2 linked regions of the Caenorhabditis elegans genome follow. The protein of the gene in region 2 purifies or fractionates together with the protein of the main gene of each other region. This does not show direct contact. Each region holds a gene or a part of one and is shown on either strand. Other genes may lie near its edges.

The links.
Region 1: the proteins of xpo-2 (region 2) and imb-1 fractionate together in Caenorhabditis elegans (co-fractionation; one large-scale study listed by BioGRID). This does not show direct contact.

What each region holds. Positions count from the first base shown.
Region 1 is NC_003279.8:4,916,780-4,932,495, reverse strand, and holds imb-1 (Importin N-terminal domain-containing protein), read left to right. Parts: upstream 1-6,262; 5' UTR 6,263-6,300; coding exon 6,301-6,358; intron 6,359-6,410; coding exon 6,411-6,606; intron 6,607-6,653; coding exon 6,654-6,789; intron 6,790-6,837; coding exon 6,838-7,101; intron 7,102-7,343; coding exon 7,344-7,604; intron 7,605-7,836; coding exon 7,837-8,355; intron 8,356-8,406; coding exon 8,407-8,664; intron 8,665-8,712; coding exon 8,713-8,962; intron 8,963-9,014; coding exon 9,015-9,205; intron 9,206-9,263; coding exon 9,264-9,413; intron 9,414-9,459; coding exon 9,460-9,555; intron 9,556-10,183; coding exon 10,184-10,366; intron 10,367-10,411; coding exon 10,412-10,498; intron 10,499-11,051; coding exon 11,052-11,093; 3' UTR 11,094-11,737; downstream 11,738-15,716. Other genes in the region: acl-11 (Phospholipid/glycerol acyltransferase domain-containing protein), read right to left, coding at 678-885, 937-998, 1,790-1,895, 1,950-2,068, 2,786-3,397; mfsd-13.1 (Major Facilitator Superfamily Domain containing homolog), read right to left, coding at 3,857-4,015, 4,063-4,255, 4,566-5,113, 5,161-5,478, 5,531-5,662, 5,707-5,763; F21F3.7 (Transmembrane protein 230), read right to left, coding at 12,131-12,276, 12,638-12,759, 13,545-13,735, 14,053-14,100.
Region 2 is NC_003279.8:315,199-330,243, forward strand, and holds xpo-2 (Exportin-2), read right to left. Parts: upstream 8,155-15,045; coding exon 7,945-8,154; intron 7,896-7,944; coding exon 7,587-7,895; intron 7,191-7,586; coding exon 5,877-7,190; intron 5,220-5,876; coding exon 4,540-5,219; intron 3,931-4,539; coding exon 3,627-3,930; 3' UTR 3,351-3,626; downstream 1-3,350. Other genes in the region: nol-14 (Nucleolar protein 14), read left to right, coding at 8,662-8,736, 8,781-9,042, 9,091-9,455, 10,101-10,850, 11,761-12,047, 12,649-12,781, 14,913-15,045.

The sequences.
Region 1 (15,716 bases), 4.6 Mb from region 2:
ATGACGTTTGTTTTTGTAAAAACAGGGGGAGAGTTCGGAAAAAGTTCAGAAGATTCGAGATTTAGAAGAATTAGAGAAATTTGCTTGACACGTGAAAAAATGTAGACAAAATTAGTATTATAGGGACGCATAAAAACCATTCTGAAATTAACATGGAAATGCGCTCTACGCCTCTCCCTCGAACCATGGGTCTCGTTAGGTATTTGGCGGCAAATCGTAAACTCAATCGTATGGCCGTGGAGCGCGTTTCTGTGCCGATTTCAAAAAAGGATTTTCCTGCGCATAAGTAATAGGAGAAGACGGAAGTGCAGAAAAAAAAAGTAAAATTGTTATTGATAAACAAATAAAATTAGCAGAGAAAGGAAACTGCATGCAAAAAGATTAAAAGTTCAAAATGAAAAAAAAAAGAAAAAAAAATTATATAACAGGAATATTTGTGTTTCGATAACGAAAAGAAAACCAAATTCTAAAGAAAAAAGAGAATAAAATAAACAATTAGACTCTATTATAAACAAACCTAGAACCTTTTCTGTGACAGTGAAACTTTTTAAAAATGCTAAAATGCTTTCAAAAGCCTTTAAAATGTTTTAGAAGTTTTGCTTCTCAGAAAAGAGACAAATTTTAATTTTAAATTTTAAAAACCAAAATATATTGTACAAATTATGAAAATTATGCACCTAAACGCATTTTCTGATATGAAGCCATGCGATAAGCAATGGTGAAGATGCGATCGTTAACAAGTAGATTCTTCCAATTGTTCTGCTGAAGAACGGAGCAAGAAGAGCAGCTGAGAAGAAGAGTGTCGATGGGAGAGTCTGTGAAATTGGCACGCACGGGAGTGCACTTCCGGTGGATGGTTTCTCCGAATAGAATTCATCAATAATTCTGAAATCAGAGGAGAATATCAGTAGATGAATGAATGTTTGACACGGATACCTTTCCTTTTTCGTGAATCGCTCAATCGTCCAGGTGCGGAGCTCCAATTTCGCCTTGGGAACCTGCAAAGCAAATATTTGTAAATTTGAATATTTTTTCTTAGAAATTTTTGAAAAATATTTTCTTTGCAGCAAGACATATTTTGGAAGCCAGTTTTATTTGTGTTTAAAAAAATTCAAAACTTTGGGTTTTGGTTTTAAAATTTTGGGTTTTTTAAAGTTTTTGTTTTGGTATTTTTGGGACCAAAAGATCCAAAAAAAAAAACTTTTGCCAAAATTGGTTTTAATGAATTTTTCTTTAAAATTTTTTTTTAAAAACCAAAATTCGATTTTTTTTTAGATTTTTGTTTTCACAAATTACAATTTTTCTTTTTTGTTCCGAATTTTTTTTGGTCCCAGCCCTGAGCACCACCTTATTTAAAAATTTTAAAAATTTTAAATATTTTTATTCAAAAAGTGGTATTCACCCAGTTGTTGTCACTCATAATTCTGAAAATGGCCAAAAAACTACTTTTTTTTTAATTTTAAATTTATATTTTGATTATGTTTTAATTTTTTGCTGTTTACCGGAGGTAAATTAACATATTTAAAAAAAATTTTCTACTGTTATTTTCTGATGTTCAGATTTTAAAGATTTTTTGGAAACTAAAAAATGGCGGATTTTTGATTTTTTTTTTTCAAAAAAATAAGAAATTTTTCTTTAACTTCTGATTAAAAAGGGAAATCAGATTTTTTTAGGTTTTACATTACGATATTTCGTCTTCAAATTTGCAGTTCTATAGAGATCTGACAATGAGCGTATCAAAATTATCCGAATTTTTAATTTAAACTTTTTCGTGTAGTGATGCTGCTACCTCATCAATTGGAATCCTATCAAGATGAATATGAAGTTGTTTGAATTGTTGTGATCCACAACAAAAATCAAACATTCCAGGCGCCAATCCACGACGTTCCGCCATTCTGTAGATAATAATTAGATTATAATGAATTGTTAAATTCAATCCCAAATCAAACCTCATTTGTCCATACATTACAGTAACATCATAGATAGCGTCAAGTGTCGACAAATTGTCGAGTGCCAATTGTAATCCTCCACTGCGCGGACACAACACATTTTGCATTGGTTGACGGCCCTGAATGCGTCATTGAAAAAGCGGATTGAGGGGGAAGGGGACCGAAATTTGATTGAAGGACATTATGGGGAATGTCATGTTTTGATTGTTAGATGTTTCAAATTATACATATTTTATTAGTAAGGTTGTTTTTGCAATTTAGGTAAACCTGGAAACTAGAAAGCTGTGAAAATTTATTTTTAAAAAGTGCTAAATTTAGTTTAAATTTCCAATTTCGAAGATATTCAAAAATAATTCAATTACACCCAATTTCTGCATTTTTGGGATATTTCCGAAAAAATGATTTTTTGAAGCAACTGCAGAAGATTTTTCATTTTTCGTAGTTTTTGGCAAAAATGTATTTCTGGTTTTTTTTTTTGAAAAAAAGTACCCAAAAAAGCACAAAATTTTTTTAACCTGTGCAAACTCATACATTTCAAAAAACTTTCACCAAAATTGCAATCAAGACAATGTTTCATTGTTTTTTTTTTGCGGAAATTCAATTTTTGCTTTTAACGGAGAAAAATAAGGAGAAAAATAAATAATTTGTTATCCTTTCAAAAATTTATAAATTTAGATTTTTGTAAAATATTTTTCTAAAAATGTCACTCAAAAATGTAACTTGAGTACAGGTATGTTCATAATATTCAAGATTTTCAACAAAATTTGGATTTTCGCTTTTTCGTGATTTTAATGATACATCAATTTTTTTTAGATTTTAAAATTCAAATTCCTTACACTTTTCTCCAAAAATCGATTGCTGCTCTCCAGCAGATGTTTCTTTTTCGCAGAATTTCGTGTTCCTTCAGGAAAAATCAGAAGCCAATAGGGCGGATCAGATTCATTAAGCCACTTCAACTGTCGTAGAACCGGTGCTCCAATAAATTCTCCAAAACGTCGAACATAGATATAACCATGTTGAAAAATGTACCATCCGAACATTGGAACCAAATGAATCGAATTTTTAACCATCACACGAAAAGCCTGCTCATTTCCTTGATCTCCATGTCTAGCGGCAAGCATTACAGGAATAATCCAATCGACATTTGATTGATGATTTGAAATCATAACTGCATTCTCTGGTTTTCCAGTTTTATTCACCACTTCTTCATTAGTTCCGTGTAAGTAGATCTCAACTCCTGATAAGTTTTCAAATACAAAAAGACACAGTCTCATATATGATTTATAGAGCATATTGTCAAGTTGTTGTGCCACGTGTCGGGGCACAATCCACGAAACTCCACCGATCACAATTGCACACGAGGCAAATGGAACCATTGATAATGAAAGTAGGGAACATGGGATAATTGGTCGAAGTGCATCCACTGCTATTGTTAGAGATATTAACATCTGAAAATTTGTTCATTATTTTATTTTTAAATTAAAACGAACATAAAACAAGGTTCCTCTGCAAGTACTGGACTTTTCGAATATATTTTTGGATTACAAATTTTTTAATAGAAAATATTTTTGCCAAAATTTTTAACCGTTTTCATGTGAATTCTAATACAAATTTTGAAAAAAAAAACCCAGCAAAAAACCAACAAATTGTGAAAGTATAAAAATCGGCGGACATTTGGACAGCCACGTGACAAGGTATAAAGCAGAAAGCAATTGATATTTTATGTACAAAAAATGGCGGGAAAGAGGAGAATAAACAAGTTTGTTTGGTTTATCACAATGGGGAGAAATCACCGGTTTGAAACAAATTTCAATTAAATTGAATAACTAATGCATTAGGAAATATTGTAATATTAAATAAATTAAATTACCCGGAGAAAAGCGAAATATAAATACAATTTAAAGCTTTTAAATAACATGAGTAGTTCGAATATTTTGCTTTCTAAAACTGAACATCGACTTCATGACGGCGTACTGAATTCCTCCAATGATAACTGGAGTCATGAAGAGAATGAGGAGGATCGTGTTTTTTAGATCTTCAGACAGAACTTTTGACTTCAAATAGTCCTGAAAAAAATATAATAATTTGGTTTATCAAAAAAAATTGTTTTTACCTGATAACCCGACTGATTAAGCAAATGAACAATGATAACAGGAGCTACAGATTGTGCCGGTTTCACGAAAAGTGCGTTTAAACTGAATACAATAGATGGGATTCCTGAAGAACGGCTATTCTTCCGAGCGTCATCATCCACGAAATCGGAAATTATTATGTTGAAGAGTGGTGCTATTGTGTGCACTGTGACGCTGAAAGGACTTTTTTTGTTGAATAATTTAATAGTTTTAGAAGGAAAGTATTTCAGCTTTCTTTGTAAAAAAATAGAAAGACATTTAGCGGCAGGGGAGCACTTTGAATTAGAAAAAAGTCGATTTGAATCTGCTTTCATTGCATTTTTTTACTACTTTAGAAAATTTCTTCAAATGAGGATTTTTGCAAACTTTGGGCAAGCAAAAATTCACATTTAAAACGAGTTCACAGTCCTCTAAAGTAGTAAAAATGCTAATTTTTAACGACCAATTTCAAAGGTACTATTTCAATTTTCAGATTAAAACCTACCAATCGATAAGCATGAAGAGCATAATGCTATATGGATTTCCGGATGCAACGATCATAAATCCGGATAAAAACGAGACAATATAACTAACAGAAATCACCCGAATCGCGCCAGCATTTGCAATTAGCTTTTCATTAACAATTAGAATAATTTGTGGTCCAAGTGTGAGTAGCATAAAGAATAAACTCAATCGAATCGATCCACTCGGTAGAATATCCTGAGGAATTAGGATTTCTGTAATAATTGATGCAAAATTCATATGAGCAATACTTCTTGCTGTATGGAAAAAATTGGTGATCACTATGGCGAGAAACTGTCGTTGTGAGAGAATTTGCTTGGTAAGATGAATAGAATTTTGAACATTTTCGTGGAATGTTAGTTGATGTTCCTTTTCTTTTTCTTGTTCTTTTTCAATTAAAACTTCTCGATCTCCTTGTTCCTTATCCTCTTGACGATTGTTTGTGATTTTTCCAAAGTGACCTCCCCACCAAAGACAAATGAAAGAAAGTATTGCGACGAAAAAGCAGATTCCTTGGAAAATCGGAAAATTCTGAAATTAGCGAACATTTCTTAAATCTAAATTTTAAATAATAATACCTTTAAACTGTTGCTCAGCTTTTCCGTGACAGCAATCGAAAATACCGATAAAAGAATTGCGATTTGAGAATATTTCAGTGCTTTTACTCGGATCAATGACTGATTTTGTGTGGTGTCAGCGAATAGAGCTCCCCATGCAACACTGATTGCACTGAAGAATGCATCGTAAAGGAATAATGAGAGAACAAGGTGCAATCCTTCCAAATCTGAACCTTCTGTATTCCATGGGATCCACATGAACACAAATGAGCCAACAAGGAAAGGAGATAAAGTTTTGATCACTAATAAGCGATTTGTGAGCCATGATCCACGAATTTCCTGAAAACAAAATATTAAATAATCATTTCTAGCTTACAAATATAACAAATACCTGCAAATATCCAAAAAGTGGATCATTTATTGCATTCCAGACCATAAACAAAGTTTGCGCAATGTTGAACCATTTTGTGTTGACGTGAAACTGATTAATGTATACTTTAACATAATAAAACATGAAGAGCGTCTGAAAATTGAGCTTTTTGAGAATTTAGGATACGAAACTCTCACCTGCAGAACACTTAATCCGAACTGTGAGAGTCCGATTGATAATAGGGAACTTCTCATTATTAAATTCGTATATTTCTTTCTTCAAACTATTAATTTTACAGGAATTTGAACAGATTTCCATGAAAAAACAGCAAAATACAGCAAAAAAAATGAAGAAAAATGAAATAATGCATGTACGCTCCATTGAAAATCTGTTATGGAAGAGAAATACAACGAATTTGAAAATGAGTGTCTCGGCGCGACAATGCTCCTATAACAGTCGTTTTCTCTGCGTCTCTTCATGAAATTTTCGGCGCAATTTACTTTTTCGAATTTTTGCACTTCTAAATCTGTTGAAATTTCTAAAATTTCCATCAAAAACGTAAATTTTCTTATTTAAAAAAATTTTAATAGGTTCCCGCTAAACTTTTTTACGAAACTTTATCAATTTCACTCTTTATCATCGGTAAAATTATCAAAAAAGCCCGAAAAACTATTTTCAAAATTTTAAATTGATTAGTATTTCTCTCGAGAGTGTATTTCCTCACTTAATCATCCTCAAATACATATTTTTCAGTAACTACGCTTACTCGGCTTCCGAAGTTTCTGAAGACAATGGCAGAACAAGCGGCAGAACAGATGCTGACGGTTTTGGAGAAAACCGTCTCACAAAGTAAGTTTAATTAAATAAGTAGATTTCAAATATTATAAAAATATATTTTCAGATCAAAATGATCAGAAACAGGCGATGGACTATATTGCGGCGGCATGTCAACAAGATTTTCCCGTTTTCGTTCAGTGTCTCAGTATGATACTTCGCACACAGCAATGTCAGTCATTTGTTCGTCAAGCCGCCGGTTTGCAGTTGAAAAACGTTCTATGTGCCAAAGAAACTGAAACCAAAAATGTGTATCTGCAAAGGTAAAACATTTTTTTAATAGAAAAAGTTTATAAAAATTGATTTTCAGATGGCTACAATTGACGGCTGAAGTCAGAGAACAGGTAAAGCAGAATGTGACCGGAACATTGGGAACTGAACCATCAAGACCATCAATTGCAGCTCAATGCGTTGCAGCAATCGCATGTGCAGAGCTTCCACAAAATGTAAGTATATATTGTACAGGACTTTATAAAAAAAATCATATTTTTTAGCTATGGCCCAATGTGATCAACCTGCTAAAGAGCAACGTGACAGAGTCACAAAGCGGAGAAATGCTGAAAGAATCTTCACTTGAAACTCTTGGATACATTTGTCAAGACATTGATCCACGAGTTTTGGAGACAAAAGCCAATGACGTCCTAACAGCAATTATTCACGGAATGCGTCCCGAGGAATCATCCGCCAACGTTCGATTCGCGGCCACCAATGCTTTATTGAATTCGCTAGAGTTCACAAACACGAACTTTAGCAATGAGGTGAGAAAAAAAGTGTTTAACCTCAAAGTGTGTTCAAATGAACGAATTTCGCAAAGATACTTCTCAAAAATGTTTCGGCAATTTGTTATGGCGATTAAAAAATCTTCAAAAGAACATAAATTTTTTTTGGTAAATTTTTTGAGAGTTATCATTATGAAATTTGATCGTTTTAGGCCAGTTAGTCTATTTCAGCAAATTGCCCACAAACTATACTTTCTCTTCAATGATTATTTCAAATTCAGGCCGAGAGAAACATCATCATGCAAGTTGTTTGTGAATCGACGAGCAGCAGTGATCAACGAGTAAAAGTAGCTGCTCTCCAGTGTCTTGTTCGGATCATGCAGCTGTACTATGAACATATGCTTTCATATATGGGCAGTGCACTCTTCCAAATCACTCTCTCTGCAATGAAATCCCAGGAGCCTGAAGTGGCAATGCAAGGAATGGAATTCTGGTCAACTGTCGCTGAGGAAGAATTTGACTTGTACATGACCTATGAGGATGTAAGAAATACGCGTTTTGATCGGAATGCTGCCATTTTTATTTAAAATTAGTGTCAATAAATAGAAAATCACTTGAATTATCTAAAAATTACTTTTTTTCTGTTGATTTTCAGATAATTCAAGAGATTTCCTATATTCTGACATTAATTTTTAATAAGAAATGTTGAAAGCAATTCCGTAGAATTGCCGAAAATAATTGGTTGTGGTTGACTCTAATTCTCCAAAATTCCAGGAAGTTGAAAGAGGAGCTCCAAATCCAAAATGTGCATCGCTACGATTCATGGAACAAGCTGCTTCACATGTGTGCCCGGTTCTTCTTGAAGCAATGGCTCACCACGACGATGGAGACGATGATGATGACTGGACACCAGCAAAAGCTGCCGGTGTATGCTTGATGCTTGCTGCTCAATGTGTACGGGATGATATTGTCAATCACGTGATTCCATTCTTCAAACACTTCCAAAATCCTGATTGGAAATACAAGGAAGCAGCTATCATGGCATTCGGATCTATTCTTGATGGTCCTGATCCAAAGAAGCTTCTTCCGATGGCACAGGAAGCTCTTCCAGCTATTGTTGCAGCCATGTGTGATAAGAATGTCAATGTACGTGATACTGCTGCATGGTCTCTTGGAAGAGTTATTGATACGTGCTCGGAGCTTGCAAACAACGCGGAACTTCTTCAATCTGTTCTTCCGGTTCTTTCCAATGGTCTTCATCAAGAACCAAGAGTTGCTAACAATGTTTGCTGGGTATCGTTTTTTATTAATTTCCCTAATATTGTTATTTTTTAATAATTTCAGGCCCTCGTTTCCCTTGTCAAAGCTTGCTATGAGTCAGCCGTCGCAAATGGAACAGATGGAAGTGGACAACCGGACACATTTGCTCTTTCCTCAGTATTCGATCCAATGGTTGGAGAGCTTATCAAGATTACCGACAGAGTAGATGGAAATCAATCGAATCTTCGAATCACTGCATACGAGGCTCTGATGGAACTGATCAAGCATTCACCGAAGGACTGTTACTCAGCTGTTCGAAATACAACTGTAGTCATATTGAAGGCAACAAAAGTGTTAATCACGAGCGAGAAAAAATGATTTTAATTTCAGAAATTGGAAAGCCTGCTGCAAATGGAGTCTCAGGCGACCAGTGAAGCTGACAAGGCTCAAGTTCGGGATCTTCAAGCAATGCTGTGTGCCACATTACAATCCGTCACTCGCAAAATGCAGCCAGCCGACATTCCAGCCGTTGGAGAGCACATTATGAACGGACTTTATCAAATTATGAACAGAGCTGCAGCGACAAGAAGTAATGCGGTCATGGAAGAAGCTTTGTTGGCTGTTGCTTGCTTGGCAGAACGTAAGATTTTTTTCCGATTTTCTGAAGCATATTTGAACTGGAATTCTTTCAGATCTAGGAAAAGGATTCCTCAGTTACATGAACGTGCTGAAACCATATTTGCTAGAAGGACTTTCGAATACAGATGAGACACAAGTATGTGCCGCCGCCGTTGGACTTGTCACCGACCTCAGTCGTGCTCTTGAAGCCGAAATCATGCCATTCATGGATGAATTGATTCAAAAGTTGATTCTGTGTCTTCAGGTAAGATTCGAGAAATGAGAAAACTCAGCTCGCATAAAATTATAATTTGATTTTTCAGTCACCACGGTTAGATAGAAACGTGAAAGTTGTGATTATTGGAACATTTGCTGACATTGCAATGGCTATCGAAGCACATTTCGAACGATATGTCGGCAGTGTTGTACCGATTCTCAACAATGCTCAAAATGCTGCAGTTGTCACTGATCCGGTAAAAAATGAAAAACATTATTCGAATTTATAATTAATTTTTCCAGAACGATGATGATCAAGTTGATTATGTGGATAGATTAAGAGAAGCTTGCCTCAATTCATATACTGGAATTATTCAAGGATTGAAGGCAATTCCTGACGTATGTGATTAGGCAAACGACGCATTTGAAAAATGTTATATGCAAAAACAGTGTATTTTTGAAAATGTTCAATTTTTAAAATTGGAAAATTTAATATTCTTTCAATTTTTCTCATAGAATTTTCTCGCGTTTTTTTTTCGTAAAATTTGAAAAGTCAAATTTCAAATCAAACTTATTCTATAAATTCTCCCAAAATTGTCATGAAAAAAATAACTGAAAAAACCACCAAAATTTTGAAAATACACAATTTCCGAAAAAACCGGAAAATCGAAAAATGTTCAAAAAATTAACCATGAAATTCAATTTTGATCAAATTTTGTTTATGTTGATTAAAAAAGTTTGAAAAAAATTTCTTCCCATAATGAGGAAAAATAACCCGAATTTCAAGATTTTTTTTGTTGAAATATCGGAAAACGAAAAATTCAAAAATTTCCGTTTTTCGATTTTTTTAAAATTTTAATTTTTTTTAGTTAAAAAATTGCAATATTAAACTTATTCTATACATTTTTTTAATAATAAAAAGCGAGAAAATTCTATGAAAAAAACTAAACAAATTAAAAAAAAATACACAGTTGTTTTTGCTTATAATTTTTTGACAAACCGGAAATTTTAATTTTAATGATTTCAGACGACCGCTGCCCGAAACATGATCAATGTATTCGTCGAGCCGATAGTTCAACTGATTACACGGATTTCATCAATGGAACCAGTTCCACCATCAGAAGCACTTATCGCTACTACAGCTGGTATCATTGGTGATCTTGTTCAGTTGTATGAGGGTGATATTATTCGATTCTTCCTAACTGATAATGTTCGTTTTTATTATTATTATTCAAATCTGAAAATTATTTTCCAGGTGACACAAATGCTGCAAAAGGGTAGAAAGTCAAAGGTGTCAAAGACGAAATCGATGGCCAATTGGGCGACCAAAGAAATTAAAAAGGTAACATTGAAAAATCGAAATTCATTTTTTTTTTAGAAAACAAGAAAATAAACCATAATGACCAAATATAACAACAAAAATTAAAAAAAAATCTACATGAATTTCTTAAAATATTGCAACAAAAAAAACTACTAAATGTTTTTTCCTGGTTAAATTTATCGGGTTTTTTCGAATTTTTGATTTTAAACACCTGTTGCCAATTTTGAGACATTTTTTCACAAAAAAGTTATAAGTTGTATGCTAGTTTTGAAGATTCTGCAATTTTTGTGGGTCATCAAGTTTTAAAGACAAAATCTCCGAAAAAAAAAACTAACAAAAGTTGCTAATTCAAATTTAATTCAGTCGTTCCTTTTATTTTTTTGCAAAAATTTTTTTAAACATTATTTTAAGAAATTAGAAAAAATCCAAAAATTTTTTTTAAACGGTTATATTCGGTCATTACTGTCAATTTTCTTTCATTTAAAGCAAAATTCCAAAACAAATATTCTCTAAGCTATAAATACTTACTTTTTTCCTTTTTCATCAACATTTCTAACGAATAAACTAGTTGCAGCATACGAACAACGGAGCAGCTACGTTCAATTTTAATCGTTAAGCAACACAAAACTTTCAATCTCAGTTCACTTTTTTTTCCAATTTTTCTTATTTTCTTCCTCCACCCCCCACATTTCTCTTTCATTTCCCCACATCTCTTCTTACAGGTCATATGCTCTCTGTTTCTCTCTCTTTGTCTCTCCCGTTTCCTTTTCTCATTCATTGCTCCGTTTTTTCCATCTTCCAAGTTTCCAGCTTCATCTCCTCCCCGGTATTTTTATTTTATTTTTTTATCTCTGACGAATTAGAATGTAATTTCCCCCACTTTTATTTTCGTTTCCTAGATTGTTTGCTTTATATTTTTGTGTGTGTGACCCCTCATTATTCAAATTTTTCTATTATGATTCTGATTTTTAGCAGCAATTATCTTCATCATTTTCTGGTTGTTTTTTGTCGGTCTTTATCGATTATCGTTTTTGCCCAAATTTGAAACTTCTAACACGGTATCTGACGGCCCTATACGTTATCATTTTGTTTCCCCTATTTATTCATCACTATTTTTTTTCTCAAAGTTTTACCGGCTAACACTATTAGTTTTTTTTTGTAAATCTATGTTTTCTATCCGAAGGGCTGTCAGTTACCAGTTGTCATCCCGCCTATTTCAATCTCAAGACACATCAATTGCACTAAATGATTCTCTTGGAATATTTTGGAATATATTTTTTTTTTAACGAAAAAAAAATTAATGACAAGTAGGAAAAAATAAATACATAGAAGTAAATGATAAATGATGGGGTAGTAAGGTAGTAGTAGAAACTATGTACATAGAGGGAAGGTGGTGGCAATTTGAAAAGCTCGGAAAAAAATGCAGGGGATTTGAATCAATTTTGATTAGAGGAAAAAGAAACCGGTGGAGGAATCTTGGAAATCATCGACAATAATGAAGAAAAGTGAAGATTAGATGAGAATTGAAGGCTAAGAAATCTCTCGAATGACCATGTTTTCGGGGGTTTTGAAATGAGGAGACCACCTCAATTCTGATTTTTTGTGTGTGTTTGACTAGATTACAAAACGTGGATTCAGAATAAATGGATGGGGCTATCGATTGAAAGTGGGCAATTTGTCGAATGAGTAACCAGGCCGGCCGCATAATGTACACGTCACGTAGTACACGTGGTAGAAGCCCGGAATAAAGCAAACGAGGCCGGCGAAGAAGAATACCCAGTGTTGCATTCCGGAATGAGCTGAAAATGGTGAGGATTTGGATGAATGGGTTACTGTAGAGCTATCAAAGAAGCAAAATTTCATGATTTATGAGTTAAAGAATACGGTACCTGGTCTGGACACGAAACATTTTTTTGTCAAATGCGACAGTAATTTTCTACTCGATTTTTCTACATTTTTTTACAATTTATTGGAAAACTGTTTGAAAAATTAGTAATAATTCATCGGAAAAAATTTGAAAATTAAAGTACTCTTTAAAGGTGCAAACACCAAAAATTTGTCGTGTCGAGATAGGATACTCGATTTTTGGAGCAAATATCGCAAAATTTCGCATCCGAGTAATACTTTCCATTTTTTATTTGCCAAAAAAAAAAGACTCACCTTCATCTGGATTCATAGCAACCCAACATCCTATCACAAGAAGAACTGCTCCAACAGCTGTTAATATAATTGATCCAATTATCACTTTGATATTTGATTTAAGCTGTGGACTGCATAAACCTCTGAAATATTAAACGGTTTTTGAGCTTTTACAATTTATTTTTTATTCTATCTTTTATTTCATAGTCTCTAATGTTTTCGTTTCAATAATCACGTGTTTGTTCAGTGCTGCCCTTTAGGGCACACAGGTGTGAGATTTGGCGCCAATCGTGGCGAGACCCGCCGCTTTTCTTTTTTCCAAACACATGTTTTTGGGTGGCGACTACTTTGATTTTTAGTCTTACTCTCATTTAAAAAAAAGAAGTTTTTTCAATTTTAGATTTTTTGAATATTGGCCAAAAAATTTCTGATCGAGCAAACTTTTTAGTTCCAAGATTTTTTTTGGAAAAAACTTATTTGAATTCAGCAAATGTTGTACTTTCGAAGTTATTACGTGAAGATAAAATCCTGAGAATGCGTATTGAGCAACATATTTGACGCACATAATATCTCGTAGCGAAAACTACAGTAACTATTAAAATGACTACCGTGGCGCTTGTGTCGATTGACAGGCTCGATTTTTTGAATGATTTTTTTTTGAATTGTGACAGCGATATTCCATTTTTCTTCCGTATTATTTTGTAATTTTTAGATTAGTTTCAACAAACAGAAAAAATTAAAAATCGACCCCGTAAATCTACAAAAGCGCTATAGTAGCCATTCAAATAATTACTGTAGTTTTCGCTTCGAGATATTTTTTGCGTCAGAAGAATATTGTTCTTGCATAATATTTTTAAAACAAAGTTTTTTTGAATTCTCTTCAAATTTTATTTTATTTTAAAAAGAACAAATTTTAAAAAAAGCTTACGTTGATTTATTCTCTTGAGGCCTACTCGGAGTGAACGGAGGACTACTTCCAGGATAAACTCCTCCATTTCCATATGGTGCATCGTCGTGTTCCATTGAAATTGCCTCGTGTGCTCGATTTTCAGCCGTGACCGCTCTTCCAGCCAGCTTTTCAGCGTCTTCGTCGTCCGATTCGTTTCGATCGACTATCAGCTGAAACAAAAAATGTAAGAATAGTGACAGAATTACTTCTATGATCATTTATTTTCTCACGTTTTCGTGGTTTCCGTATGAATTTTCTAGTGGTTTTCTGTCGAAAGCCAGCGGTTTTTCGTTATTATGAATTATAAATGAGTTTCAGCATGTTGAAAAAAGAAAAAAAGAAAACAGCGATGGATTAGAACACAGAAATCTTTCTTGAAAAAGAATAAGAAAAAAAAATAAAAAATGGATTGTTTTTGGTGTCGGTTTGGCTACAAAAGAGTCATTTTTCTTTTGTCTGTATTATTTTTTGAATACAAATAACTTACATGTTGTCCCTGTGACACATTACGCTGATGTCCTGGCATGCTAGGCATATCTGGAAATATTTATTTTGAAGTAAGAAACACAGTTTCATTTGCAAAAAAACCACGTGGGAGAGGAGGGGCGAGAGAGAGAAAACAAAAAAATTCTGAAGATATGCAACGACGAGAATCGATTCCAATTGCATTTTTGCCCCAAACATGTTTTGTGTGTGAGGAAATGATGAAGAAAGGCGGCGATTTGAATTGAGATAACATTTTTTGGAACGAAACTGAGAGGGAAGAGAGAGGGCAAATCGAGATTCTTTTATCGCTTGAGAAATGTATTTTTTTAATTCGTGATTCATGTTCATGCAAAATTTGAATAAAATTTAACAAGAACTTTGGTGTTTTTTCACGGAAACAAAAATAAAAAAAAACACTTAAAAATTACAGTTTTCAAGCTTCTGCTTCGGGACCCGGCTGACAGAAATGTGTATGTGCCTTTAAAGTCTACAGTATTTAGCTACATTTTTAATCGAAAGTTTCAATTTGAAATGGCAACAAATTTAGGAAATAAGTTTTAGTTTCCAGTTTGGAGAAATATAATGAAAGCGTGACACGCGAATCGGGGTCGCGAAGTGACTAATCGCGCACCCATTTCCGCCTCTTCAACTCTTTTGGCAAACATTGGTGGTGGTGAGAGAGAAGAGAGAGCCGCAACGCGTGACCGCGACGCATCCGAACGTCTTCGTCCTCGAATTTCCGGATTTGTTTTTATCCGCGGATATTCCGAAATTACAACTATTTTCCACCGTTTTCTCTCAACTTTTCTGCATTTTCTTCTCCGAATTTTTCTCTCCTTTCTGATTTATCACCCGACTCGCACGCACAAAACGCGCAATGTTTGTTTTGATGTCTCTGGGTTTGTTGAAAAAAACACCTGCCATTTATTTCTTTTCTCGTAGTTTGATTCAGTTATCGTCAAAGTGAGTCAGAGACTAGAACGCGTCGTTATCTTATCAATGAGGAATTCCTAAGAAGACAGTAAATACATCAATCCATTATTTTTGCATTAAAAACGATTATCAAGCAAGTAACTGCGAACATTGATGATGTTCTCTCTTTTATCTTTTAAACCTTTGAAATGTTTTTTGCCATTTTTTCCGATTGCCGAATCCTTTCTTTTCTAAAATTGCCAAAATTTCCGATTTCGCCGAAAATTCAAAAAACCGGCAATTGGCGATTTTCGCGTACCCCTGGCTCTAACGTGACATTTTCGAAGTTTAGAAAGTTAATCTTGATCTTCAGAATAAATAAAACAAAAACTCCTACGTGAGAATCTTGTGATATTCGAGTAAACATACCGATTTCACACCTTTTGAGAGTTTTCGCACTCATTAACAGAACATATAGCTTGAGAAATGTTGATATTCAATTTTTCGAAAAAAAAAGAAGCTTTACGCTAAAATACCAATTTAACATAGCCGCTTAAAACACAACACAAAACGAGAAAAGGGTTGAAAAACCATTTTAGTTGTTCCACAGCACGATTGGCAGCAGCAGAAGTCAACAGAGAAAGACTACAGTACTAAGCAAACGGAAAAGCCGCCGACAGTGAAAGAGCACTCGTGTTGAATACAATTAAACTGGGTCTCTTTTAATTTTTTTTTCTCCCCTATACCTCTGTT
Region 2 (15,045 bases):
GAGTGCACGATTCTCAACGGAGCGCACTTGCTGCGTCACACGCACTTTAAACTGTACACGGCGGGAAGTTCAAATTTTAAAAGGATTCACGTGATTTTCACGACATTTACTGGTTTTTTCAGCGAGTTTTCGCAACTTTTCGGCGACAACCGATGATGATTTATGTTTGGAATATGATGATGGTAGCGTGTTGCGAAATAAAAAATCGATGGAATGAGTCAGCGAGAAACTAATATTTGCATAGAGAACTGTTTGCAATTTTGGCATTACATTGGCCAGTGCACTGACAAAAAAAGAAAAAAATAAACGGCAAAATCTCTAATACCTATTCCAGGCAACCAGTGTCTGGCGACGATGGAGAGTAATTCTGAAAGAGACGCAGTTGAAAAGAGTGTGTTTTTCGCTTTTTTTTTCAGACAGAAGAGTAAAAAGAGTAAATACGTATCAGTAGTAAAAACAATGTGCGAGCTGGGAAATCAGTAATAATTAACTACTTGTGATACAAATTCCTCAAGGAATGAAGGAGAAAGTGTACTTTTTTTGAGACCCGAAGAACTCGGGGGATGTCCAATTGGGGGGATTACCAACTCGGGGGATTGGCCCCGCCCACAGAACCGTGGCTTGCAATACGCCCATTTCTGCAACTGCCGCACGGTTTTAAAACTGTATTTTTCTCAATAGAGCGAGAATTAACAAGAAAAAATAATTTTAAAACCGTGCGGCAGTTGCAGAAATGGGCGTATTGCAAGCCACGGTTCTGTGGGCGGGGCCAAACTCCCGAGTTGGTAATCCCCCCAATTGGACATCCCCCGAGTTCTTCGGGTCTCCTTTTTTTTAATTTTGAATTGAAAAATTGTCCGAAAAGTGCAAACGTAGAACATCAAAACCAGTGGAGGGGCGAAATTTGATAGATCGCAGGTTGCAAGAATGAGCATTCTACGAGTTTCGCGCCATTTCTGCGTAGCGCGCACAATATTGTGCAATAAATCTCGGTATTTGCGTACATGCATCATATCTTACGCGCAAATCATATTGGAAATTTCCCCGAAACACGGGGAGGCAAAGCTAACGTGGCTGAAGAAATTTCTACAGTAGTCCCATTTGGCTGACTGAATATTCAACGCGAATAAGTTTTGTACACTATTGCGTACTTTGCGTACGCGCATTTTATTTGACGACAATTCGTCAATATCAGCTCTGGCTAAAAGCGCTTTTCTCATTATTTAAGCGAATAAAAGTCGAAAAAAAATGTTTTGTGATAGAGAATAGTAATTTAAAAAATAAAAAAGTGCATATTTTATGTTTCTCATTATGTTTCCACTGATTTTCTGAGAAAAACCGAAAATTTCCTCTTTTTTCGATGAATTTCAGCTGAATAGTTTGTTTTTATCTAGTTTTTCTTCCGATTGACTGAATAACACATTTAATAACATCAATATAACGTTTAAAACATTCATTGTCTCGAAAACCAATATAAAACTCGTCAGAGAGGGATACTTAGTAGATATGCTGAACAAGGAAAAGAGAGAGAAGAACATTAACCGAATGGGGAGGGGGGAATAAGAAATCTGAACAGGAACGAAATATAAAGAACATTATTAGAAAGAACAAGCATGGCTTGATCTTCTTGGCAGTCGTCTCCTTATCCTATCACTTCTTCTCGGCGTCCTTCTGATCATGCTACCGAGCAACGTGGCACGATCGAAGAGTTTCACAACGGTTTGATACTTTCGCTCCACGAGGGGGCTCCCAATTCAGCGAGGGTCCTCTCACGAAGTTTAATTTTTTAAAATTAAAAAATAAGTAACACCTCAAGAATTCCATCGAAGTTGTGCTCCTTTGCAATAAGACGAAATTTTTTTTTACGGAATTGAACAGGATCATTGAGGTACGGCATGAAAACGGCTTCCTCGTTGAACGATGTTGAAGCTCCTTCACCATTGCACCTGAAAATCAACTTCTAAATTTTCCAATTTAAAGAAAATCCACATACTTATCCTCGGAAACGAATCCAATATTCTGGTTGCTGAGTGGAATTGCTTCAAAGATTTTGATCAGATTTTTTTTTGAAATTTTCGATCACACATCTTGTATCCACCAAATCGCCGAGTGCTTCATGAACTTCAGACTCGTGCTTTCCAACCTCTTCCATGAGCTTCACTTCTTCTGCTTGGAACTTTTGATTGCCTTCGGACCGATCTGACTTGTAGTTTCTTCTTAAATAGTGGCTGATTGAGCAGTCGACCTTGCAGTCCTACCTTCTTTGGCTTCTTCTGCGGCACTTGAGCCCTTGTAAGAGCACTTATTGCTGCTTAACCTTCCTTATTAATACTTCGAACAGCTTCTTCTTGTTCGCATCTATTTCGAATTTTGTCTTGAAATCTTCCAATGCAGCGACAACGTAATATCTGGAAATTATAAAAACATTAAGAGAAAATATTTTGAAAAAAAATCGAAAATTGCACTGAATTCCTAAATTTTTTATTAAAATCGAAAAAAAAAAATGAAATACGTGAGATTGAGTTTCGAGACTTTTTTATTCAGAATCAGCATATATTTCTCCATATTTGAGTAGGTTTTCAGAAATATTGTACCATAATTTTTGGAAAAATGTAATTTTTAATTCGAAATTGCACTGAATTTCTCGAATTTTTCACTAAAATCGAGAAAATAAATATGAAATACGCGAGATTGAGGTTCAAGACTTTTTAATTCGGAATCAGCATATATTTTTCCATATTTGAGTAGATTTTCAGAAATATTGTACCATAATTTTTCGAGATATTTTGAATAATAACTTACTTTTCGACGTTTTTTGCCTTTGTCCGGTTTAATCCATCGAATTTCGAAGCGGTTTGCGTAGATTAGCTGAAAACATTATGCTTATTCCACGTAGTAACAAGAAAAAACAAGAAAAAATAAGAAAAAACGAAGAAAAATAAGCATATAAGTCAAATTAAAAATGTTTATTCGATCAAAATTCTTAACCATAGGAGGCGGTGGCTAGCCGGCGCACTCTCGCGGCCACGTTAGCTTTGCCTCCCCGTGGAAAGGAGCCATGATATTACGGAAACACTATTTGAATTCTGAGAACGCGAAATATCTCGTAGCGAAAACTACAGTAACCCTTTAAATGACTACTGTAGCGCTGGTGTCGATTTACGGGTTCGATTTTTAAAATTATTTTTTTTGTTTTTTGTGTGCGTCATCGATTACTAAATTATAAATTATTTCCGTAAATCGACATACAATCGCTACAGTATTCATTTAAAGAATTACTGTAGTTTTCGCTACGAGATATTTTGCGCGTCACTCCTTCAGGCACCACATCTTACACTCAAAATCGAGGTGAATTTCTGTGTATTTGACAGCAAAAATGTCGTGAAAAACAATTAAATAAGGCAATTTGAAGAGGAAAAAACTGGGGCAGATGTGAGATAAGAAGAAGAAGAAGCGGGGCTTCGACAACCGTAAACTAATCAGAGATGGAAAGTGAGAAATTTGAAATTTAAGACAAAAAAGTTAACAACGGGGGATTTTTTTTAGAGAGAAAGAGCGAGTAATCGGGCAGCAGCAGAGAAAAAAAAAGATAATAAACAATTGAAAAAATATAAATATCGGGGAAATTATTGCTGAATAGACTGCAAATAGGTGACAATCTCGGGCGGTACAGAACGAAGTGTCTCTGGACAATTTCCGGGTCCACGGACAAGAACGGCCTGCGCAAAGTAGGCCTTGTGGTTGGCGATGTTGGCGGCGACGGGCGGTTGCTTGGGAGCGTAACTCAGACGACAGAATGGGTTCACAAATTCTCCCTCGGCGTTGTACATTGAAGCTTGCTCTTCTTCTGGTGATAGGACGGCTCGATCGGAGGCTGAAGCAGCTTCCAGCAGCATTGCCACCTCGTATGACAGAATTCCGTATTGACCACTGCAAAAAAAATTTATATGAGAAATTGAATTTAAAATGATTTTATTTGTAATTTTGTTTTTGTTAATTGTCGTTAATTGTTTTTTTTTTGAGAAAAAACCGAAAAAAAAATTAAAATCTTCATTTTTGATTTAATTTTTTTGTTGAAAAATCGGCAGTTTTCGATTTTGTTTTTTTGAAAAAATAGGGAAAAGTCGGTAATTGTCGATTTTTCAAAAAACTGAAAATTCCAGATTTTGTCAGGAAAAAAAACGAAGAAATCGACAAAATTTCAATTTTATTTTTTTAAATTTGTGTTTTTCAAATTTTTTTTTGATATGTGATTTTTAACTTTTCTCTGGAAAAAAACCGAAAATTTGCAATTTTTCAATTTTTTCCAAAAAAATCTTTAAAAAATAGAAAATTTTCGTTTTTTTTTCTGAAATATTTAAAAATTGTAACTTTCTATTTTTTTTAAACCCGTATTAAAGTTTAAAAAAAAAATCGGAGAAAAAAAAACTGAATCGAAAATATGTGATTTTCAATTTCCTTTGAAAAAAATATAAAAAATCGAAAATTTTCGTTTTTCGATATTTTTTCTGGAAAAAAGCCTAAATTTTCATTACTAACACAAGCTGCTGCGTGACATCGGCTAGCAAATTGCCCATTCCAATGGCAATAATCCGTTTCTCAGGCCCCGTTGTCGTTTGTTTCAGACCTGGCAAATCAATGCATACGACCTTCTCGATGAGCATTCCGAACATGCCAGTCTGAATATTCTCACACGATTGAACAAGATCCTGTGCACTCCGGGCGATCGTAAATCGACACAAGAACACGATGAATAGCTTCATAAACTTGGGTGTCTTCGACGATTGAACTCTTCGAAACATTGTATTGAGCACAAATGTCATCGCGGAACCCTCGAAGTGCTCAATCGACGGAAGAATCGTCGCCGCCAACTGGAAACCGTATTGATCCAAGGTTTTCGAGCCCAAAAGCCGCGCCAAATGGCTCAAGATCAACCCAGAATTCTCCGAGACGACTCGCTGAGCATTCACGGAAAGGATCACTTCGAGAACCGAAAGTGCCGCTGGAACATTCGCTGATCTCGCCCAAAGACGTTCGGATAGCAGAAACGGAAGGAACGGTGAGAATTGATCGATCGATGAGTTTCTAGCGATACATGAGGAGACGAGAACTCCCGTGATTTGGAGAGCATATGGGATGAGATCTTCCAAATCCTCGCGGAAGATCACTTCGATCAGTGGAAGGAGTTGAGCATCCAGTGAGGCGCCGATTGTTCGGGTCTGGAACAGGAAATTCGTTAAAAAATATAAAATGTTCTTAAAATTGCTATCACTTTTTTTTTGAATAAGAAAAAAAATCACAAAAAGGAAAACACGAAAAAGCAGACAAATGTTTCGATTTTGCAATTTTTAATTTTTTTTTTTCAGAAAAAAATTATCGATTTCTTCTTTAAAAAAAGAAGATTCTTTTCGATTTTTTCGGAAAAAAACATCGAAAAATTGAAAAACAAAAAGTTTTGATTTTTTTTTCAGTGAAAATCGTTCAATTTTTCGGGGTTTGTTTCGACAAAAATAATTAAAAACTAAAATTTTTCAGTTTTTAGGTTTCTTATCAGAAAAATTGAATTTTTTCGATTTTCCGAAAAATTAAAAAAAGGTATATTTTTTGAAAACACGAAAACGGAAAAGTGTTGGTTTTTTGTAAATTTTTGCGTTTTCCAGCAAAATTGCCAATTTTTCCGAAAATTTTCAGATCGAAAGTTAAATTATCGATGTCTATTCCAATTTCCGAGTTTCAGCGAATTTTTTTTTGCAGAAAAATTTCAGAAAATTTGACAAGTTATGTTCCAATTTATGAAAAAAAATTTGAGACCAAAGTGCGGCACGGAAAAATGGGCGGAGTTTAGAGTGGTATTTTTCTCTCAAACTACTCCTTACCTTGGTGATCAACACACAAATCGTCTCAAACAAAAAGTGCGTGTGCACCGAATCCGCCGGATTTTTCGTCGCCGACTCGACCAACTGTGCGAGCTTGACCGCAATCGCGTCCGCATGCCGAATCGTGTCGTCATCGAGAATCACAATGATCCTCAAAATCGCCTTGATCAGATACGGCGAGTTTTGCGCTTTGGCATCCTTGTCGAACGCGGTGACAAGGTTCTGAAGGATCGAGGAGACTGGAAGATTTTGAGCCGAGAAGATTTTGTTGGAATCAGCGAGAAGGATCTTTTCAATAGCGTAAGCTGCGTACTTGTGCAGAATCGGAGTATTCGAGCTGAGAAGAGCGTCCGCCGACTTGATCGCAGTCATAAGGTGCTCTGGAGCCAGCTGTTTCCTGAAAGTGACCGCAAACTTCAGTGCATCAGCTTTAAGGATCGGAGTTTGATTGACATCGGCGTTGAGATGTGTGGCCACTTGTGTGATGAAGAAGTCGTTGATGTCCACCAGCGGGTTCGTCGCCGTTACTCCACTCTTAGCAGTCTCCGTCTTCACCGCGATCGCCGTGATCAGCGAGTAGACAATGTCGATCTTGATCCAATCACCACTTCCCAGCAGGTTCTGCACGATCTCCCCCAGACATGGAAGCATTTGCGCCTCGAATCTTCGGCAGAGACCTCGCGCAAGATCGATGGCTCCACGGCGTCGAGTTCCTACATCGGTACCCTCGATGTCTCGCTTCATATAATCCAGTGGCTCATCCTCGAACAGTTCCATATCCTGTTGACGAAGCAGAAGGTTCTGAACGCACACGTTCTCGGCGAGAGTCTTCAGAACGCCTTCACCAGTGAAGTGTCCCTCGTAGTACTGTCGCTGGCTGACCATCGACAGAAATTCCAGCGCGGCGCACACCATCGTATCGTATCGAGTGTCGGGGCCGGTAGACTTGAGCAGATTCCAGACGGCAAGGATGATGTCGGGCACGAACTCGGAGATCTCCTCCTCGTAGCGTTGCGAGTAGAGCGTGAAGATCTCACAGATCTCGTGCTTAAGCTCGTCCAGAGTTGTAGGTTCTCCCGAGTTGGAGGTCTGCGTCGGCGCGTCGATTTGCACGAGATGCAAGAAGTGTGGCATCCAGTCCTTGAGATGATCCTCGAAGTATTCCGGAATCTCCTGTGAGCACAGAGAATGGTAGACTTTTGCAATGAGAAGTAAGACTCGGAGCCATTGGGCGATCTCGTCGGCTCCGAGTTGATCCTTCCGCTGTCCCACCTCCATCATGTTCCGTAGCAACAGAGTTAGAGGCTCTTGGGTCTGAAAAATCGGTTCTTTTTATTTGTAACTGAAAAATCTGGGGAGAAAACAGTTTTTCGGTCCAAATTCGAGACTGACATTCAGATTTCTTCAATTTTTTGGCTCAAAAATTTTGAAAATTTGTCCATTTTTATAGGAAAATTATCAATTTTCGCCAAAAATTCCTCATTTTTGCTTTAGTTAAAATTTTTGACTAAAAAATCATAAAATGTTGAATTTTTCACGATTTTTCGGAAAACAAGGCCAGCTTTAGCTAGCTTAAATGTCTAATTTTGGTCATTTTTTAGGGTCAAAGCGGACAAAAATTCAACTTCCGACGGCTGCGACGTAAAAAAGTGGCCAAAATTGGGGATTTTAGCTGAAATTAGCCAAATTTTGAGCCAAAACGCAACTCACGCTCAGTAGACACTTCTTCAGCTCTTTCCAAAGCTCTGCTGACTTGGATTCGAATCGGAATTTGCGGAAAATCTGCTCCATCGACGCCAGCGAGGCCACCAGGTGATTGAGATCCGCTCCGTTCAGGAATTTCGACAAATATGGAACCAAATCTGGCCATTTTTCGGGAAAATCTCTCTGAGCGATGAGATACAGAGCATTGGACAGGATTTCCTGAACATTTGATTTTGTATTGAACATCGCTTCGAGAAGCATGCTTCTGAACTGCTCCTCGTCTTCCTGGCCCATTTCTACCTCTGGTGCCGGGCCCTGAAACAATTTAAATATAAAATTCACGCATTTATTCAAATTTTCCAACCCAATTTCTCTTCACAAAATTTTTCAAAGCGACAGCCGCGGCGATTCGGATCTGCGGAGCAATTTGTTGCTGTTCGTTGACCACCAGTTGAAGAATTTGAATGATATAGCCTGGATTTGATTGCAGCGAGCGGAGCGCTTCTTCTCCACGCTTGCGAATCGCAGCATCCGGCTCCAGAGTCTGCTGGAGAGCTGCTCCGATTTGCTCCATCTGAAAATAGGGAAAAATAGCTGTTTTGGGGGTGAAATAGGGAAGAATTAGGTGAAAGGACAAAGATAGTTTAGCTTAAAACTTGAAATCTAAAATTTCCGGTCAAAATATTAAAGTTTTACGCAATTTTTCGCAGGCCCGCGGGGAATAAACTCGCAAAAATTCGCAAAAATAAAAAAAAAATTTCAAAAGTGTGAAGTGTTTGCGTACAGCGCACCCGACCCGACGCGCAAATTTTTTTCATTATGTTCTCTGTTTTCACTGATTTTTACTGATTTTTCCTAGTTTTCCCTTGATTTTCTTCAAATTTTCCACTTTTTCAGCAAAACGTGCATAAAAAAATAAATTAAAACATTTCAATTTTCAAAACTTTGCAAAATAAAGGCGTCGTTGCGTACAATGCGCACGACTTGACGCGCAAACTTCCCAATTTTTATTCTTAAATTTTCCTGGATACCCCTGGTTTTTTCTCTGTTTCCCCCCTAATTTTTCGCATTTTCAGCAAACATGGGTGTTGATAAAAAGCAAAAGCAACGAAAAACCAATCCATTCGAGCTAAAATTCAACAAATCCAAGCATGACGTGAGTTTTTCAGAGTTTTGAAGAAAAAATCGATTTTCTCGCAGATTCTCGGCCGGAAAAAGGGCGCACAAGTTGGAGCACCGACTGCGTCACGAAAACGAGCTCACGAGCAACGTGAACAGACGCTAGGCGTAGAATATGACCGGAAAAATAAGATTAGCAAAATTGTCGACAAACGGCTCGGCGAAAAGGACGGAAAAAGCGAGGAGGAGAAGGGCGCGATGAGATTCACAGAGGAAAGAGTCAAAAATTATAAAAGAGCATCGAAATTCAACTTGACAGATGATGGAGATGAGGAGGAAGAAGGTTTATTCCGAAATAAATTGAGAAAAATTTTAATAAAGTAAATTTCAGTACTTACTCACAAGGGAAAAGCGCTCTCGGACATTGAAAAATACGACAAATCGATGATTTCCGACTCGGATGACGATGAAGAGCCGGGAAATTTGGGCTCAAATATGGTAAAAGTGGCTCATTTCGGTGGTGGAGAGAAGACCGCCGAGGAGCACGTCCGCGAAAAAATCAGCCGAGAGGATATGATTTCGAATTTGATTGCGAAAACGAAGCTGGCGCGTCACGAGAAGCAACAGCAGAAGGATGAGCTCGAGCTGATGACAGAGTCGTTGGATTCCAAGTATCAGGCTTTGATGGGCAAAATGAAGGCTTCATTTAGGCCGACCGGGCGCCAGCCGCTGGAAAAAGATGATTACGACAAATTGGTACGGGAAACATCCCGGTTTTCTCCAAATTTTTAAGATAAAAGATAATTATAAATTTAGAGTGAAAATCGATTTTTTTCACAATTTTTTAGTGGAAAACCTAAAACCCAAAAAACTTGATCTGAAAATGCTAATTTTTAACCATTTTTGCTATGGAAATTGGAAATTTTCATTAATTTTGCTGTAAAAGTTGAAGAAATCCAAGTTTTAGCTTTGTAATCAGAGAAAACACTGTAAAATTATTTCGGAATTTGTGCAATTTGAAGTGAAAAATAAAACATTTAACTTCTTATCGCGAAAGAAATTGAGCTGAACTGAGAATTTTTTTGACGAAAAATCATTAAAAAGTCAATTTTTTTGACAAAAATTCGAGAAAAGTCGGTTTTTCTTTTGACAAAAATGACGAAAAAGGCAATTTTTAATTTAAAAAAATAAATTTTTCGCCGAAAAATAACTTTAAAAAAGTCGTTTTTTTACAAAATAAAACAATTTAAAATAACTATTTTTCGACAAAAAAATTAAGAAAAAGCCAATTTTTTTGTTTAAAAAATGATAGAAAAAGGCTTTTTTTTTGTTTCTTCGCCTAAAAAATCAAGAAAAATAGGTTTTATTCCATTTTTTATCCAAAAATTATTATTTTTCCAGACAATCACCTTGAAAACCGAAGCCGACGCTCGTGCCACCCCAGCAGATCGTAAGCTATCCGAAGAAGAAGAAGCTCTGAAAGAAAAAGAACGTCTGGAAACTCTCGAGGCCGCCCGTATCTCGAAAAATAATGCATTTTTCAACGCAAAATCTCATTTATCAGCCGATGCCGACGTTGATATCGATGCTGGATCGAAGGCCGACGCCAGAAAAGTTCAGGCGAAAAATTCGAGATTTGAGGTCAAATTTGACGATGAAGGTGGCCTGATCGATGAGGATACGGTGGAAAAATCCAGGATTTTAAAGAAAAATCTGGATGGTTCTGATGAATCTGACGATGACGAGGATCTAGAAGATGAGGAAGAGGATCTGGATGATCTACTGGAAGATGAGGATGAGCTGGAAGAAGATTCCGATGATGAGGAAGCTCAGGAAGCCCAAAAAGTCGTCAAAAAAGCGAAAAAATCTGCTCCAGAACCCGCTGAAACTCTGCCATTCGTATTCGAAATGCCGAAAAACTATAAAAAATTCTGTGCTCTTCTGGAAAAACACTCGGAATCGATGGATTTAGTGCTGGAACGACTCGTGAAATGTCATCATCCGAGCCTTAAAGAAGGAAATAAGAAGCGTCTGAATAAGCTTTTCCTCTTGTGTTTAAGATGGTTTGATGATATGTCGAAGGAGGAATTGACAGCGGAAAGTGTGAAGGAAATGAATTTAGCGCAGGAAACTATGCATGCGTTGATGAAGGTAGCGATTGGATGGAAAAGCTGAAAAATTACCGCACTTTTTAATCTGAAAATTGAAAAAATTCGAGAATTTTTGACCTAAAATTTTGAAAAATTCCCGATTTTTATACCCCAAAAATTGCAAAAAAGTCCCGATTTTTTACCAAAAAATGTTTTAAAATCCCCGAATTTTTTACCTAAAAATTGCAAAAAAGTTTCGATATTTAGACCCAAAAATTGCAAAAAAGTCCCGATATTTTTACCAAAAAATGTTTTATAATCCCCGAATTTTTGACCTAAAAATTGCAAAAAAGTCTCGATTTTTAGACCCAAAAATTGCAAAAAAGTCCCGAATTTTTTACCAAAAAATGTTTTAAAATCCCCGAATTTTTGACCTAAAAATTGCAAAAAAGCCGGTTTTTTTACAAAAAAATGTTTTAAAATCCCCGAATTTTTGACCGAAAAATTGCAAAAAAGTCTCGATTTTTAGACCCAAAAATTGCAAAAAAGTCCCGAATTTTTTACCAAAAAATGTTTTAAAATCCCCGAATTTTTTGACCTAAAAATTGCAATAAATTCCAAAAACTTTGGCCAAAAAATTAAAAAAAATACCCGAATGTTTGACCCAAAAATTGCAAAAAAGCCCCGATTTTTTGAGAAAAATCATGTGAAATTAAAACCTTTTTTTTTTGAAAATCAGTCTCGAAAAAAAAAAGAAAAACCAGGAAAATCATGAAAATTTAAGAAAAAAATCATTAAAAATAGGAAACGATCATGGAAATATTTTTAAAGAAACATTATATAAAAAATCATTAAAATTTCAGAAAAAAAATATGGAAAATCCTGAAAATAAAGAAAATAATATTAAAAATTCAGATTAAAAAACGCAAAAAATTCAACAATTGAAAAAAATTTCAAATTGTTTTTTGCAGTTCGACATTCAATACGGAGTCCGATGTGTGCGTGCTCTAATCCGTCAACACTGGAAAGGCCGCCAGGATAAACAGAAGAGTAGCCCAGTGTCATTTGGATTAATCTCTGCAATTCGTCTTGTTTCCGGCCTCTTCCCAGTTGCCGATTCCTGGCATCCTGTAGTGGTTCCGGCTCTTTTTTTGGCAACTGAAGCACTTTGCTCGGCGAAATGTGCCAATTTGAATGCGTTGGCTAAACAAATTCAATTGGCTAATGCTATTGTTGAATATGTGTCTGAATCCAAGAGGTAATACTTGGAAACGAACATTTAAATAGGCAAATTTTGAAAAAAATACTGAAAGCTTTGATATAAAATAGGAAAAGTAACGAAAAAAAAAGCCAAAACCACCAAAAATATTATTTTCAAAAGCTAACTCAAAAAATTTAAAATTCAGAATTGTCGCTTAAAAAAATCTATTTTTTTCGATATCGAAAAAAGATTACTATAAAAATTCAAAAAAGCAATTTTTTAAAATATAACTTGATTTTTTTTTCTGAAGTTCATTTTTTAACAAATAATTGCATTAATTTTCCATTTTAATGTTAAAAAAAAGCGAATTTTTCAAAAATTGATATAAATTTTGTTTTGGCAATTTTTAGATCAGAAAACATTGAAAAAATACAAAAATCCCGTTTTTTTTTAAATTAATTTTTTAGAAAAAATTGCAATTTTTCAAAAATCTTCCGGTCATTTCTCTATTTTTAAAAAATCTCTCGTCTCTTTTAAAAAAATTTAAAAAACCGAATTATCGAAGCGTATCAAAATTTTGAAATTAAAAAAAAAACCGAACTCCATTTTTACGAAAAATCCGAAAGTTGAAAATTGTTTTCAATAAAATAAATTTCAGATACGTCCCCGAGCTGGTCGCATTTGCTCGAAGTGCTCTTCTGCTTGCAGTTACAGAGAAAAGTGAGAAATTCGCGACAAATGGATTCCCGATTTCCAAGCCACACACGGAAATGTTATGCTTTGAGGAGAAGGTAAATTTATAAAATTTGTTTTTTTGAGCAAAAAATTGGTTTTTTTTTTTGGTTTTCTCTTTAAAAAAATTTGCTTAAAAACGCTCAATATTTAAAAAAAAAACTGGCAAAATCGAATTTTATAATATAAATTAAAAATTTTGTTCAAATAAAAATGATTTTTTTTTGAAAATTTAGTTTTGAAAAATTTAAAATTAAATTTTAAATTTTCACAAAATTGCCAATGATAAAATGTTCACTTTTTCTTGTATAAAACTGCTTGAAATTTTTTAAAAGCAATTTTCCGAAAAATAATTTTTTAATAGATTTCTGAAAAACCGAAAAACCACCGATTGAAAAACGAAAATCAAGTTTTTTTCCGAATTTTCTATTTTTAACAAATTAAATATCAATTTTGCACATACAAAACGGTTAAAAAAAAACAAAAAAAATTGCCGAGAGCCAAAAAAATTTAAGTTTCAGCGATTTTGAAATTTTTTTTTTAGGAAACACGGTCTCCTCGGGTGGAAACGAAGGGGGAGGGAGATTGCTTGCGCGTTTCACCGATGCGCCTTTCGCGTGCTGGCGCACTTCTGAATATTGAATTATTTTTGCGGAAAAAATTCATTTCTTCTATGAAATTTTCTTGAGAAAGCAAAGGAAAGATGATGAAATGAATTTTTAAAATAGTTTTCTCAGTTAAAAAGAGAATACCTTGCTGCAAAAGGTTAAATTTATTGAAAAATTGAGAAAATAAGAAGTTTATCTTTGTTTTCACTACATAAAGTGGGGAAATCTCAAAAAAATTTGAAGACAATTAAGAAATATAATTAAATATATAGCCTGAAAGTCAAATAAGAAATGAAGGTTTGGTCACAAACAATTTTATTTTTGAATTGAAGTTTTGAGAAATGATCATGTGCCAGAATCACTAAATCTGAGACATTCAGCCCAATTTCTTTAATTTTCTGTGATTTTATCATGGAAGTGTGGCTTTTTCTGTGATCTTGCCAGTTTTAACAAGTTGAAATTGGAAAATCGTGAAGTGGGAAACTAGCAGTGAAGCTTCCAAAAATTTCAAGCCTTACTGAAAGGAAAGTATTGGAAACTAAAAACGAAAGCTTAAGAAGATACCGTTTTTATATATTTGAGTTTTGAAAAGCCTTAATAGGTTTTAAATACAGTTTTCTCAAGAATTCAAACTTGTAACGATTAAGTTGAGGCACAGAATAAGATGGTAATACTAAGTTATGTTGAAAAAAGCCAAGAAAGACTGAAAACATTGCTTTCAATCTGATTTTTTGTAAGTAATGTAATGTTGAAACATTATTCTTCATAGTTCAGCACTTTGTATGGCTTATTTGAGCCCAAACGTACAGTAGTATGTGGCAAGAAATAAAATATTGTGCCAACAAAATTGGAGCCGAAAAACCCATGATAAAATGTTTAATACGTGTATTGCTCTAATAAAATACCAAATATTAATTAGATTCACTGTCTCGACTCTTTTTAATTCAGATTAATAACTTTTAGCTCCTCTTTTTAACGAAAAATTATAACTGGATTTCACAAAAAGAGTTCGATCTGAGTTCTTTCAACAGGTACATAGACGAATTATATCTTAAAATGACGAGAAAAGTTTGCTCTATAAACGTTATCATTGCAGGTTATGAGAAAAACAAATAAAAATTTAATTTTAAAAAATCCGAAAATTCAGTTGTTATTTTCAAACAGTTCGTTATGCATTTCCACCGAACGGTTTCCGATAATTTTTGTTTCTCCACTTTCGGTTCAGTCTACTTTATAATTGTTATCATTTTGAAATAGAAAAATCGACGAAAAACTAATAAAAATCGAGGGAAATCACTCTTCAACGGTGAAATCTCGGTGGACGCAATGAAGCTGCAGCATTTCAAAAAAATTTTAGAAGCAATTTTGGTCATTTCAGCTTCAAAAAGCTTTAAAACTTAAAAAAATTAAAATTCATTTCAAAAAATTTGAAATTAGTCATTTAAAATATAAAAATTAGAAAAATTCTAATTTTCAGCGAATTTTCAAATTTATTTTTATTTCAGAAAAATTCAAATTTTGGCTTTCAAAAAAGCTTACAAAATATTAATTTTTAAAAAATCTAACTTTCCCAATTTTTCAGTACACTGGCCCCGCACTCCAGCCAATCTCCCTGACCACAATCTTCAACAATTCCCCATCCGATCCATCTCTAAAGCTTCACGTTCTTCGTGCTCTGCTCTCCCTCATCCAACATCTCCGTGTAATCTACTCCA